Caenorhabditis elegans: one gene and its partner. The protein of the gene in region 2 interacts with the protein of the main gene of each other region in a pairwise test. Each region holds a gene or a part of one and is shown on either strand. Other genes may lie near its edges.

The links.
Region 1: the proteins of ccm-3 (region 2) and psme-3 interact in a two-hybrid assay, tested with the Caenorhabditis elegans proteins (one large-scale study listed by BioGRID).

What each region holds. Positions count from the first base shown.
Region 1 is NC_003281.10:11,566,362-11,573,888, reverse strand, and holds psme-3 (Proteasome activator complex subunit 3), read right to left. Parts: upstream 5,753-7,527; 5' UTR 5,749-5,752; coding exon 5,539-5,748; intron 2,692-5,538; coding exon 2,267-2,691; intron 827-2,266; coding exon 715-826; 3' UTR 546-714; downstream 1-545. Other genes in the region: Y66D12A.10 (MITD1 C-terminal phospholipase D-like domain-containing protein), read right to left, coding at 5,997-6,141, 7,257-7,325, 7,371-7,527.
Region 2 is NC_003280.10:10,605,209-10,608,835, forward strand, and holds ccm-3 (Programmed cell death protein 10 homolog), read right to left. Parts: upstream 2,068-3,627; 5' UTR 2,058-2,067; coding exon 1,984-2,057; intron 1,928-1,983; coding exon 1,885-1,927; intron 1,803-1,884; coding exon 1,603-1,802; intron 1,548-1,602; coding exon 1,298-1,547; intron 998-1,297; coding exon 917-997; 3' UTR 509-916; downstream 1-508. Other genes in the region: taf-13 (Transcription initiation factor TFIID subunit 13), read right to left, coding at 1-124, 263-394. UniProt on the Caenorhabditis elegans protein: Involved in excretory canal elongation during postembryonic development. Plays a role in promoting Golgi stability, ER integrity and vesicle transport probably by regulating the activation of Rho GTPase cdc-42. Involved in fertility.

The sequences.
Region 1 (7,527 bases), on a different chromosome or scaffold from region 2:
GTTTTGTTCAAATTCCGCCATTTTTTTCGAAATTTAAAACTCAATACTTCAATTTTAGTACAATTTTACAAGGCTGCAACGCTAAATTTTTTTCAAAAATGCTAATTTAGCGCTGAAGCCCTATAAAATTGTATTAAAAGTGAAATATTGAGTTTTAAATTTCAAAAAAAAAAAAATGGCGGAATTTAACAAAACTAAAAAAAAACTTTAAAAAATTTTTGACCAAAATTTCAGAAAAATCTTTTTTTTTTTGGATTTTTTATTCAAATTTTTTCGGTAAAAATTTTGTGGAAAATTTCAGGGTTTTTTTGCCTTTTTTTAAAGGCAATTTTTCTCCAGAAAATCCTAAATTCAGAAAACCCATGAAAAAACTGCTTAAATTTGAAATTTTGGAGTTTTTGTTCAAAAAAAAAAAGATGCAAAAAGTCTTTTTTTAAAATTAATTTTTTCACTTTTTTTTTTGATTTTTAAGCAATAATGAGAAAAAGGTAGATAAAAAAGGCCAAAAAACCTTGAAAATTTCACAAAATTTTAACAGAAAGAAAAAGAAAAATTAGTCTTAATAGAGCTCCTAAAAATGCGGAGAATAAACAAAAAAAACTGGGACAAAAAAACAATTCAACAATAATAATAAAAAACTCGAAAGAACAATCAAAAATTGGGTAAAATTTGAGACCGAAGCAAACATTAAAACAGGATGATGGATTCAATTCCTTAATAAAGATGTTCGGTGTTGGAGGTGCGTGGAACCTTGATCTTCTCATAGTTCTTCATAATCATATCGTGAAGTGTGGAGAAGTGATTGCGCATCTCGAGAACCACCAATCTGAAACACACAGAAATTCAATAAATTTTCGGAAACTTTACAAATATAAAAAAAAAATTCCCTCCAAAATGAGAACTGCACACGACCAATTAGCGATTCGCTCCGCCCACTTTTAAACCAATCAGATGGAGTGGGCGGAGCTCGGAGTTGCTGATTGGTCGGGGAGATTTCATATTGGAGGGAATTCGAAAAATCGTGTTTTTATTGGTTTTTTTCAAATAATTTTTTTTGAGTTCTGGTTTTCTTTTATTTAAAGATTTTTTGGGTTTTAAATAGAATTATAATATTTTTAATTTTTTTTTTTTCGTTTTTAAAACTATTTTCGGTTTTTTATATTCAGAAAAATTGCAAAAAATAAATATTAAAAATCTAACTTTTAAAACGCGATTTTTCAATTTTGGCTAAATTCCCTCCAAAATGAGAACTCCCCGACCAATCAGCGACGTGGAACTCCGCCCACTCCATCTGATTGGTTAGATAAATGTGGGCGGAGCGAATCGCTGATTGGTCGGGAAGTTCTCATTTTGGAGGGAATTTAGCCAAAACTGAAAAATCGCGTTTCTAAAAGTTAGATTTTTAATTTTAGCAAAAACAACGAAAAAAGTAGCGAAAAATGTGTCTTCGCTTTTTTTTTTTTTGGTTTTCTTTTGTGAAATTTCTAAAATTGAAATTTTTTCTTTCAAAAAAATGTTTTCGCTAATTTTCGCTCCAACCTAATGTTTATGAAATGGTTTTTATTTTATTTTGAAAAAATTTAAAAAAAACAACAATTTTTAAAGGTTTTTTTGGGATTTTTTAGACAAAAAAAAAAGGCAACCTTTTAACAAAAATTAGCATAAATAATTAGTAAATTAGCCTTTTAGCAAAAAGGCAAGAAACCTTGAAAAAATGTGTTTTCTTCTTTCTTTTTGTGAAATTTTTAAAAATTCGATATTTTATGCTAATTTTCGCTCCAGCCTAATATTTATGAGATGATTTGTATTTTTAAAATTAAAAAAAAACAATTTTTTTTAAGGTTTTTTTTTTTGGATTTTTTAGACCAAAAAACGGCAAAAAAAGTGTTTTACTTTTCAAAAAAATCCGTTTTTCGACTTTTTCTTTGAAAATTTTTAAAGTGAGATTTTTTCTTCAAAAATTCAATTTTTCGCTATTTCGCTCCAACCTAATATTATTGAACTGTTTTGAACATTTTTTGCAATTTTTCGGGTTTTTTTTTGGATTTTTAGGCTAAAAAGGTTTTAAAAATAGCTCAAAAAAGGAAAAACCTTTGAAAAAATCCGCTTTTTTTCTTTTTGTTGCAATTTTTAAAATTTTTATAGATTTTTTAGACCAAAAAAAGGAAAAAAACCTAGAAAAAATCGGTTTTTTTTTGAAAATTCCGAAATTTAAACTTTTTTTCATTAAAAAATTCAATTTTTCGCTAATTTCTGCTGCTCCAACCTAATATTAATGAACTGTTTCTCGTCCATATCAAGAATAGCACGTCTATAATCATCCACATGTGGATATTTAGCAATCTTCGTGATAAGCTTTCCACGAGTCGTAAAATATCGGCTCATTTGATCCAAAAACGAGGCGGCCTCGCTTTCGACATTCCGAACTTCGGACAGTGTCTCCTCTTGGATTCCGACGCCGAAATTATTGCCGTCTTCGATGCGTGGAATGAGCAAAGTGATCCACATTTTCACGTTGTTACACTGCTCGACAGCGTCACGAAGCTTCGGGCGAACCAGATCCATGAGTTGGGCGAGATTCTCGTTGCATGGGACAGTGCCGCTGCTGAACGCGAAGATCGGGGCTCCTTTGGGCTTCTCGTCGACTCGCTGACGCTTTACCGCTGGCTCATCGCTGTCCGTGGTGCCGTTCTGCAAAAATTTGGTTTTTTTTTCGCGTTGAAAAAAAAATTACAGAGAAAATTTCTTTAAATTTTGATATTTTCACTGCAACTTTTTCCTCACGAGGGACGAGGAAAAGTGGTTTCTAGGCCATGGCCGAGGGGCCGACAAGTTTCAGCGGCCATTTATCTTGCTTTGTTTTCCGCCTGTTTTCTTTCGTTTTTCACAGCTTTTTCACGTTTTTTCTTATTAAAACTGATAAATAAATACTTTTTGCAGATGCTAAAACAATTTCCAAGTAAAAAAATTATGTATTCAGTGGGCAAGCAGCGGTGAAAGTGGGCATTGTAATATGATGGATTACGGGAATACAAAACCTAAACTTTTTCTGAAACATGATACATATGCTGCTTAAATGCTGAAACTACCCGATTTTCATAACGAGACCGCTGAAAAAGTTTTGAGGTTTTCAAAATTCAAATTTTTGTGCGAAAATCTCGACTTTTTCACCAAAAAAGTTGAATTTGGAAACCTCAAAACTTTTTCAGCGGTCTCGTTATGAAAATCAGGTAATTTCAGCATCTAAGCATCATATGTATCATGTTTCAGAAAAAGTTTAGGTTTTGTATTCCCGTAATCCATCATATTGCATTGACCACTTTCACCGCTGCTTGCCCACTGAATACATAATTTTTTTACTTGGAAATTGTTTTAGCATTTGCAAAAAGTATTTATTTATCAGTTTTAATAAGAAAAAACGGGAAAAATCGATGAAAAACGAAAGAAAACAGGCGGAAAACAAAGCAAGATAAATGGCCGCTGAAACTTGTCGGCCCCTCGGCCATGGCCTAGAAACCACTTTTCCTCGTCCCTCGTGAGGAAAAAGTTGCAGTGATTTTAATGGAAATTGGTGAATTTTTCCATTTTTGAGATTTTTTTAAACTTTTTTTTTCGCAAAAAACCGATTTCTGTGAAATTTTCATGTTTTTTAAAGGTTTTTTAACGCTTTTTTTGCTGAATTAAACTGAAACTGGCTCGAAAAATGTCAAAAAAAAAAACTATTTTTTTGGTTCTTTTCTCTGAAATTACCGAAATTTTATTTAAATGTTCATACTTTCCTGTAAATTGGTAAATTTTTGCTTTTTTGAGATATTTTTTTTGCAAAAAAAAAAGACGATTTCTGTGAAATTTTCGAATTTTTCCGGCTTTTTTTGCTGAAATATACTGAAACTGGCTCCAAACGATTAAAAAAGGTGTTTCGTTTTTCTTTCTGAAATTACCGAAATTTTATTATTTTTTCCTGTAAATTGGCAAATTTTTTATTTTTTAACATTTTTTTGCAAGTTTTTTAGGCTTTTTAACGCTTTTTTTTGCTGAAATAAACTGAAACTGGCTCCAAAAATTGTAAAAATACTATTTTTTAAAAATGTTTTCCCCTTTTTTTGGAAATTGGCAAATTTTTGCTTTTTTTGATAGGATTTTTGGAATAAAAAGGCGATTTCTGTGAAATTTTCGAATTTTTACGGCTTTTTTTGCTGAAATATACTGAAACTGGCTCCAAACATTTTAAAAAGACTATTTTTTGGTTTTTAATTTTGAAATAACCGGAATTTTCTTTAAATTTTGATTTTTTCCTGTAAATTGGCAAATTTTTTATTTTTTTACATTATTTTTTGCAAGTTTTTACGCTTTTTTTGCTGAAATGGACTGAAACTGGCTCCAAAAATTAAAAATAAAACTTTTTTTTTGGTTTTTTTCTCTGAAATTACCGGAATTTTCATTAAATTTTGATTTGTTCCAGTAAATTGGTAAATCTTTGCTTTTTTTTTTGAGATTTTTTTCGCAAAAAAGGCGATTTCTCTGAAAGTTTAAAGTTTTTTTTTAATATGTTTTTTTGCTGAAATAGACTAAAACTTGCGCCAAACGCCCAGAATTTCAGATAAAAAGAGCCAAATATCGCTAAAATCCGAAATTTTCACAAAATTTTCTTGTCGAAGCAGCTGCAGCCATGGAATCCAGCTAAATTTCGCTAAAATCTCTCAGAAATTACCGAAATTGGTTGCCTATCGACGTAAAATATGCAATAAAGGGTTATAATTTAATGAAAACTAAAAATCTCAGAAAAAATTCGAAAAATGTGCAGAATTTTGCAAAAATTCGAAATTTCCGATTAAAAATTGGGTTTATTGAAATTTATTCAAGAAACCCTATTTTTTAATTAGAAATTTCAAATTTTAGCAAAATTCTGCACATTTTTCGAATTTTTTCTGAGATTTTTAGTTTTCATTAAATTATAACCCTTTATTGCATATTTTAGGCGGATATGAACCAAATTTTAGTCGTTTCTGTGAGATTCCAGCAAAATTCAGCTGTATTCCATGATACAACATAAAAATTTATTCGAAAATTCGATTTTCAGCAAAAATTGGTTTTTTTCCCGAAATCCGGATCGTTTTTGGCGAGTTTTAGTCTTTTTCAGCGAAAAAATAACTCGAAAAACTTGAAATTTTCACACGGAAATCGCCTTTTTGGCAAAAAAATTAGGGCCGTTAAAAAAAATGTTTAGAGCCAGTTTCAGTCAATTTCAGCAAAAAAAGCGTTAAAGAAGCCTAAAAAACTTGAAAATTTCACAGAAATCTGATTTTTTTTGTGCAAAAATCTTTAAAAAAAAGCAAAAATTTGCAAATTTACAGGAAAAAATCAAAATTTAAATAAAATTTCGGTATTTTCAACGCAAAAAAAGTATTTTTTTAATGTTTGGAGCCAGTTTCAGTCAATTTCAGCAAAAAAGCGTTAAAAAACTTGAAAATTTCACACGGAAATCGCTATTTTTTGAGAAAAAACTATTTTTTTTTTCGATATTTTTCCCCTCCGTACCAACGCATCCGGAATCGGAATATTCAACGATTTATCGGGAAGAATCTCGGCGAGACGATCGTACGAGAGCTTTGGGCTCTTGAGCAACGCGTCGAACTCGATAACTTTCTTCGGAAATTCCTCTTTGACGAGCCTCTCGGCTTCGGCAAAGAGCTTCTGCTTGTACTCGACGAGCTCCTTGTTCTCCGGCATACTTTGCTTCTTGACCATCGTGCTGGAAAATTTCCAGTGGAAATGTGGATTAAGCAGAAAATAAACGGAAAATTGTGGGGGAAAAATCGATAATTCGCTGGTTGGAAACCAAGAAATAGCTTTTTAAAAAATGAAAAAAAAACACACAATAAATTGGAAAAATGGCATTTTTTCTGGCAAATTGGTGAAAAAATCGAGATAAATTACTATTTACAACCGGAAAAGTGTGATAATTCACAGAAAACATTGAAAAAATACACGAAAAATCAAGTTTTCCGCTTCAAAATATTGATAATAGTCTCGTGGCACGGCCGCTGATCCATATCGTTGGCGCCGAGCACATATTTCCCATCGGAAGCTTTGAAATAGTCGAGCCCGCGGCCACTTTTCACCACCCAACCGTTGTCGAATCTGGAAAATAATTTAAAAAATGCATTAAAATCGTTTTTTAACTCAAATTAACGAAATTAGTTATCAAAAATTGGCTAAAAATGGCCAAGTGACTAAAAATTGGCCGAAATTGGGCAGAAAATGACTAAAAATTGGCCAAAAATGACTGAAATTAGTCAAAAATGATCGAAACTGGCTAAAAATGACCGAAATTGACCAAAAATAAGCCAAAAATGACCGAAATTGTGCAACAATAGCTAAAAATTGATTGAAAATTAACGAAATGGGCCAAAAATTACCAAAATTTGGCAGAAAATAACTAAAAATTGGCGAAAAATAACTAAAATTTGCTGAAAATTACCGAAATTGACCAGAAATAAGCCAAAACTGACTAAAAATTAGCCAAAACTGACTAAAAATTGGCCAAAAATGACTAAAAATTGGCCAAAAATGATTAAAAATTGACTGCAAATTACCGAAATTGGCCAAAAAAAAGCCGAAATGAGCGAAATTGGACAAAAATGATTAAAAATTGGCTAAAAATGACTACAAATTGACTGAAAATTACCGAAATTGACCAAAAAAAGCCAAAATCTACTAAAAAAAATGACAAAAAATAAGCCAAAAATGACCGAAATTGGCCAAAAATGATCAAAATTTCTGTCATTTTCATTCGTTTTGGCGAATTTTCGGACATTTCTGGCCATTTTCCAATATTTTGTGGCAATTTCGGTCATTTTGGCCATTCCTTTGGTTCTTTTTGACCATTGCTAGTCTATTTTTAGCGATTTCCGGTCAACTTCGGGAATTTGTGACTAATTTTATTAATTTTTTGGTTATTTTTGGCAAATTTCGGGCATTTCTGGCCGTTTTTAATCTTTTTTGGCCAAATTTCGGTCATTTTCCGGCTTTATATAGATATTTTGGACATTTTTGGCCACTTTTTTCGAAATATTTAGAGATAAACTACCAAAATATGCAATAAAGATTGGATAATCAAATAAAAGTGAACTTCGGACCGCTGCCACGCAGAAAAGTGGTCGAAACCGGAGATTTTAACGAAAATCCGGCCATTTATCGAATTTTTCAAGAGGTTTGAGCACATTTCGGGGGGATAAATTAATTCAAATCTGTACATAATTTCCCGATCATGAATTGTCGTGCTGAACTCGACGTTGAACATCACTCCGCGCTTCGCAAGGCTTCTGAAATCACAAAATTTTCTAATTTTCCCGGCGAATTTCCCCCACTTTGAGAGTTCCTCGAACTCTGCCTGATTCTTCCGTGCCTCTTCGCCAGTTCTCAGCGTTATAACGAGCAAATTCACCGACAACGGAACGACAAGCTCGCAGAATCGCACGAAATTCACGAGTTGATGGTGAGCACTGATGTAGGCGTCCTGAACGT
Region 2 (3,627 bases):
GATAGTGAATGTCCTCAAGTGCCATTTTATCCGGTTTTCCAACTTTCATCGCCAGTTGGCATAACTCTTTGATGTAGTTTAGGACAATGGCCTCAAGAGTGTCCAGGGTCTTGTCGTATGGCTCCTGAAACATTTATTTATAAACAATTCAGGAAATTATCAATCGGAATCTTAGAAAAACCGCTCATTTAATTTCTTTTTAATTTGTTATAGAAATGCAAATAAATTTTGATTCAAAAAGTTGCACAGCCCTGTTACCAACCTTATCATCTCCAAAGCCATAGACCATTGATCTCAAATCTCGTCTCAGCACGTGCTTCTTATCCTCCGGATTTACCACCTTCTCCTTGTCATCTTCGGCATCCGAGCCGAACAGATCCTCTTCGTCATCCATTTTTTAAATTCTGAAATTAATTTAAAATTGGTCTGAAATTTTTTAAAGTGAAGTTAATTAGATATATAATAAGTTTTCGACAACAAGAATTGCAATACAGTCAATTAAAATATTAAAAATTTCTGAATAATTTATCACGTTATTTGGAGAAGAAACCGACTTATGGAAAAAAATCTAGTACATCAGTGGGTGAAAAAACGAGGAAAAATCAAAGAAAGGCACATGAAAAAGAAAGGAAGAATGATAATTGAGCTACTTATTACAATATTTTTGAAGTGAAAAAAATCCGAAAAACCATATAAAGCATAATACGTTAATCATTTTCCTAAAATTTCAGTCAATAAACAGAAAATTGGGAAAGGAAAAATCATAGAAAGAAGAAAGTGTGCAGATCCGATGTATAAAGTGATGAGTGTGTGGATGAGAACAAGAAATTAAGTGAACAAAAAATGAAAGTAAAACACATGCAAAAGGAAAGAGCCGTCTAGTAGATCACAGTTATAAGCCGCCATATGGGTGAGCTTATCCTCGGCGAAGTTTTTCGTTGATTGTGCGGACTATCATTGTCGTTTGGAAAACCAGTTGGTTGGCGGACACGGATACCTGCAAACATTGAATTTAGGCTCAGAATTTGTTTTAAAAAAATGGATTTTAATATTATTCAAGAATTTAGTTTGATTTTCCCAAGATTTGGGGAAAATTTACAGGTTTTTATTTTAAAAAAAAGTCCAAATTTGCCGAATATCGATGTGAAAAAATTAAAAAAAAATCTCCCTGATTTTATATTTCAGTGCGAATTTTTTCCCAGAAAAACCGGGGCTTTTGAATTTTTCACATAGATATTCGGAGTCAAGGACAAATTTCGACGCATTTAAGTAAAAAAGCACATTTTTTCCCACGAACCTGATTTGCATTCTGATCTTTAAAATACGTCTTCAAAGTGTTACTGAATCTTTTCGAGTAGTGCACAAATTCCCGTTTACGTTTCTCAACGGCCGGCTGCGCAGTGAGTGGAACAATTCTGTAGACGGCGTTTATTGCCTCAAGAAGTTTCTTGATTGATGATGCGATGAGCTTGATGGTCTCCAGGAAGGCGTGACGATCCGACATTTCTTCGGGAACCCGGGACAGAACACGACGAAGCTCGATTGCTCTGTAATTTTTTTCGTACGCCAGGAATTTTGAAAAAAATTATCTAATTTGATTACCGTTTCGTGAGCTCTTTATAATCAGCATTCTGCTCATATCCACTGACAATCAAATCATTTGTCGGCGAGGTGTCATGCATTCTCAGATAGGATTCCTGCAGATTAACGCTCAATTCCGAGTCATCCAGCAAAACTTTTGTGAAATCATAGAGAAACGACGGAGAAGCTTGTTCACAAGTGGTCAGTGCAGTGTGCAGTTTCTGAATAATTCTTTGTTAATTTATTTTTTTTCGTTTAACAGTATAAAATTCATAGAAAATATTCTTATATAGAATAGCTTACGTTTAGGGCGAGAGAAGCTCTTGGATCATCACGATGTTGCTGTCTAAAATATATTTTTTAAATTATTATGTTTAAAAACTGATATTTCTTGAAACCCACTTAATTTTTTCCATCACAGGACTGTACAGGCATTGATATGTCATCGCTCCAAGATATCCACCCTCTTCGTTCATTGTGAAACTGCTGAAATGAAAATCATGATTTTTGAGTGAATTTTAAGAGGAGAAAGCTGTGTTAAAAAAGGAAAAACCCGCATACGATCGATTTGCATCGCAAATACATACAGAAATCAAAAGCGGAGAGAGACGCAGATAATAAGGCGAAAAGTTGGAGAAATACAGAGGAAAACGAGGAGAGTAAATATAGGAAGAAAGTGAACGGTCGGAAAGGAATGTGAAAGCAGAATTCGAATTCCTTGGAGAAACTTATGAGTCATTATAATAATAATAATAACGGTTTTTATCGGTTTCGCATGATAACCCACCCAGAAATCGATGCAATTGTTTTTTAATAGTTGAATTAATATTGTGAAATATAAGAAATAACATTAAATATGTTTTTTACTTGAAAAAATAATGAAAATCGCAAAAAATTGATAAAATCTGTTAAAAAAAGAACGAAAAAAAAAAAATTTAAATGAAATGTTCGCATTGGAGCGCACTTGCTGGCACCAGAGATGCTGCAGATTTCGAGATGAACAATTCTGGAGAACAAAGTTCTTGGAAAAATTTTAATATTCGACGTTAAAAATATATTTTATTAGTGCTTAATTTTTTAAATAATCAATTCAATCGCGAAAATGTGAACAAAATGTTTTTACTCAACTCAGACCTCGGTGGAGGTAAAATTTTGCAAATTTTGAAATAATGAATCTTTCAATTTTTAGCCTAGTGCACTAGCTAGTGTTATTTAGACATATAAATGCAGATTTTGCAAATAATAATCTCTGAGAATAAACAACGATTTCCAATATTCAATCAGATTTTCCTGAAAATATATTTTTTTAATTATAATTGTCCAGATCTGGCCAGATAAATTTCATGATTTTTCCCAAAGAATACGGTAGCAGGTCTCGTCAAATTTTCGCACACAAAAAGGTGTGTGCCTTTAAAGAGTACTGTAACTTCAAATTTTTGTTTCAGTGGATGTATTAAAGTTTTTTTTGTAAACTTTTCGAAAAATAAAAAGTTCTTCATCGAAAAATTAGTGGAAAATTATTTTTTCGTAAATCAATAAAAAGAAATTACAGTAATCTCTAAAGGCACACTCACTTTTCTATTTAATGATGGTGTTTCGCGACGAGACCCGGTGCCGTATTTCTGGGGACTCTATTATATTTTCAGCCCACCAGTGAAGGATATCTGTCAATAAAATTATGATATAGTAAAGAATCTCCGGAAAACAAGAAGTCACAAGTCCAATTCCCATCAATCTGCGTCTCAAAATCTTCCGTAATATCTTTTTTCTCCCGGCTGTCCGTCTCATCTTCCGTGTCATTCCTGCCGATCAATAGGAGATCCACTATTCACACCTTTGTTACGCTTCAGAGTATATTAACAATAGAGTCGAGAAAAAAACATTGAAATTTGTTTCATTTTATTGTCTTTTCTTTTCTAAATTGCTCTCAAAAAATGTGCTGATTTCATTTTTCTAGATGTTTCCTTTGGTCAAAGGTTTCGAGAAAAAACCAGTTCCCATTCCAAAAAATAGGTAATAAAATTGCGAACATGTACATTCAAGGTA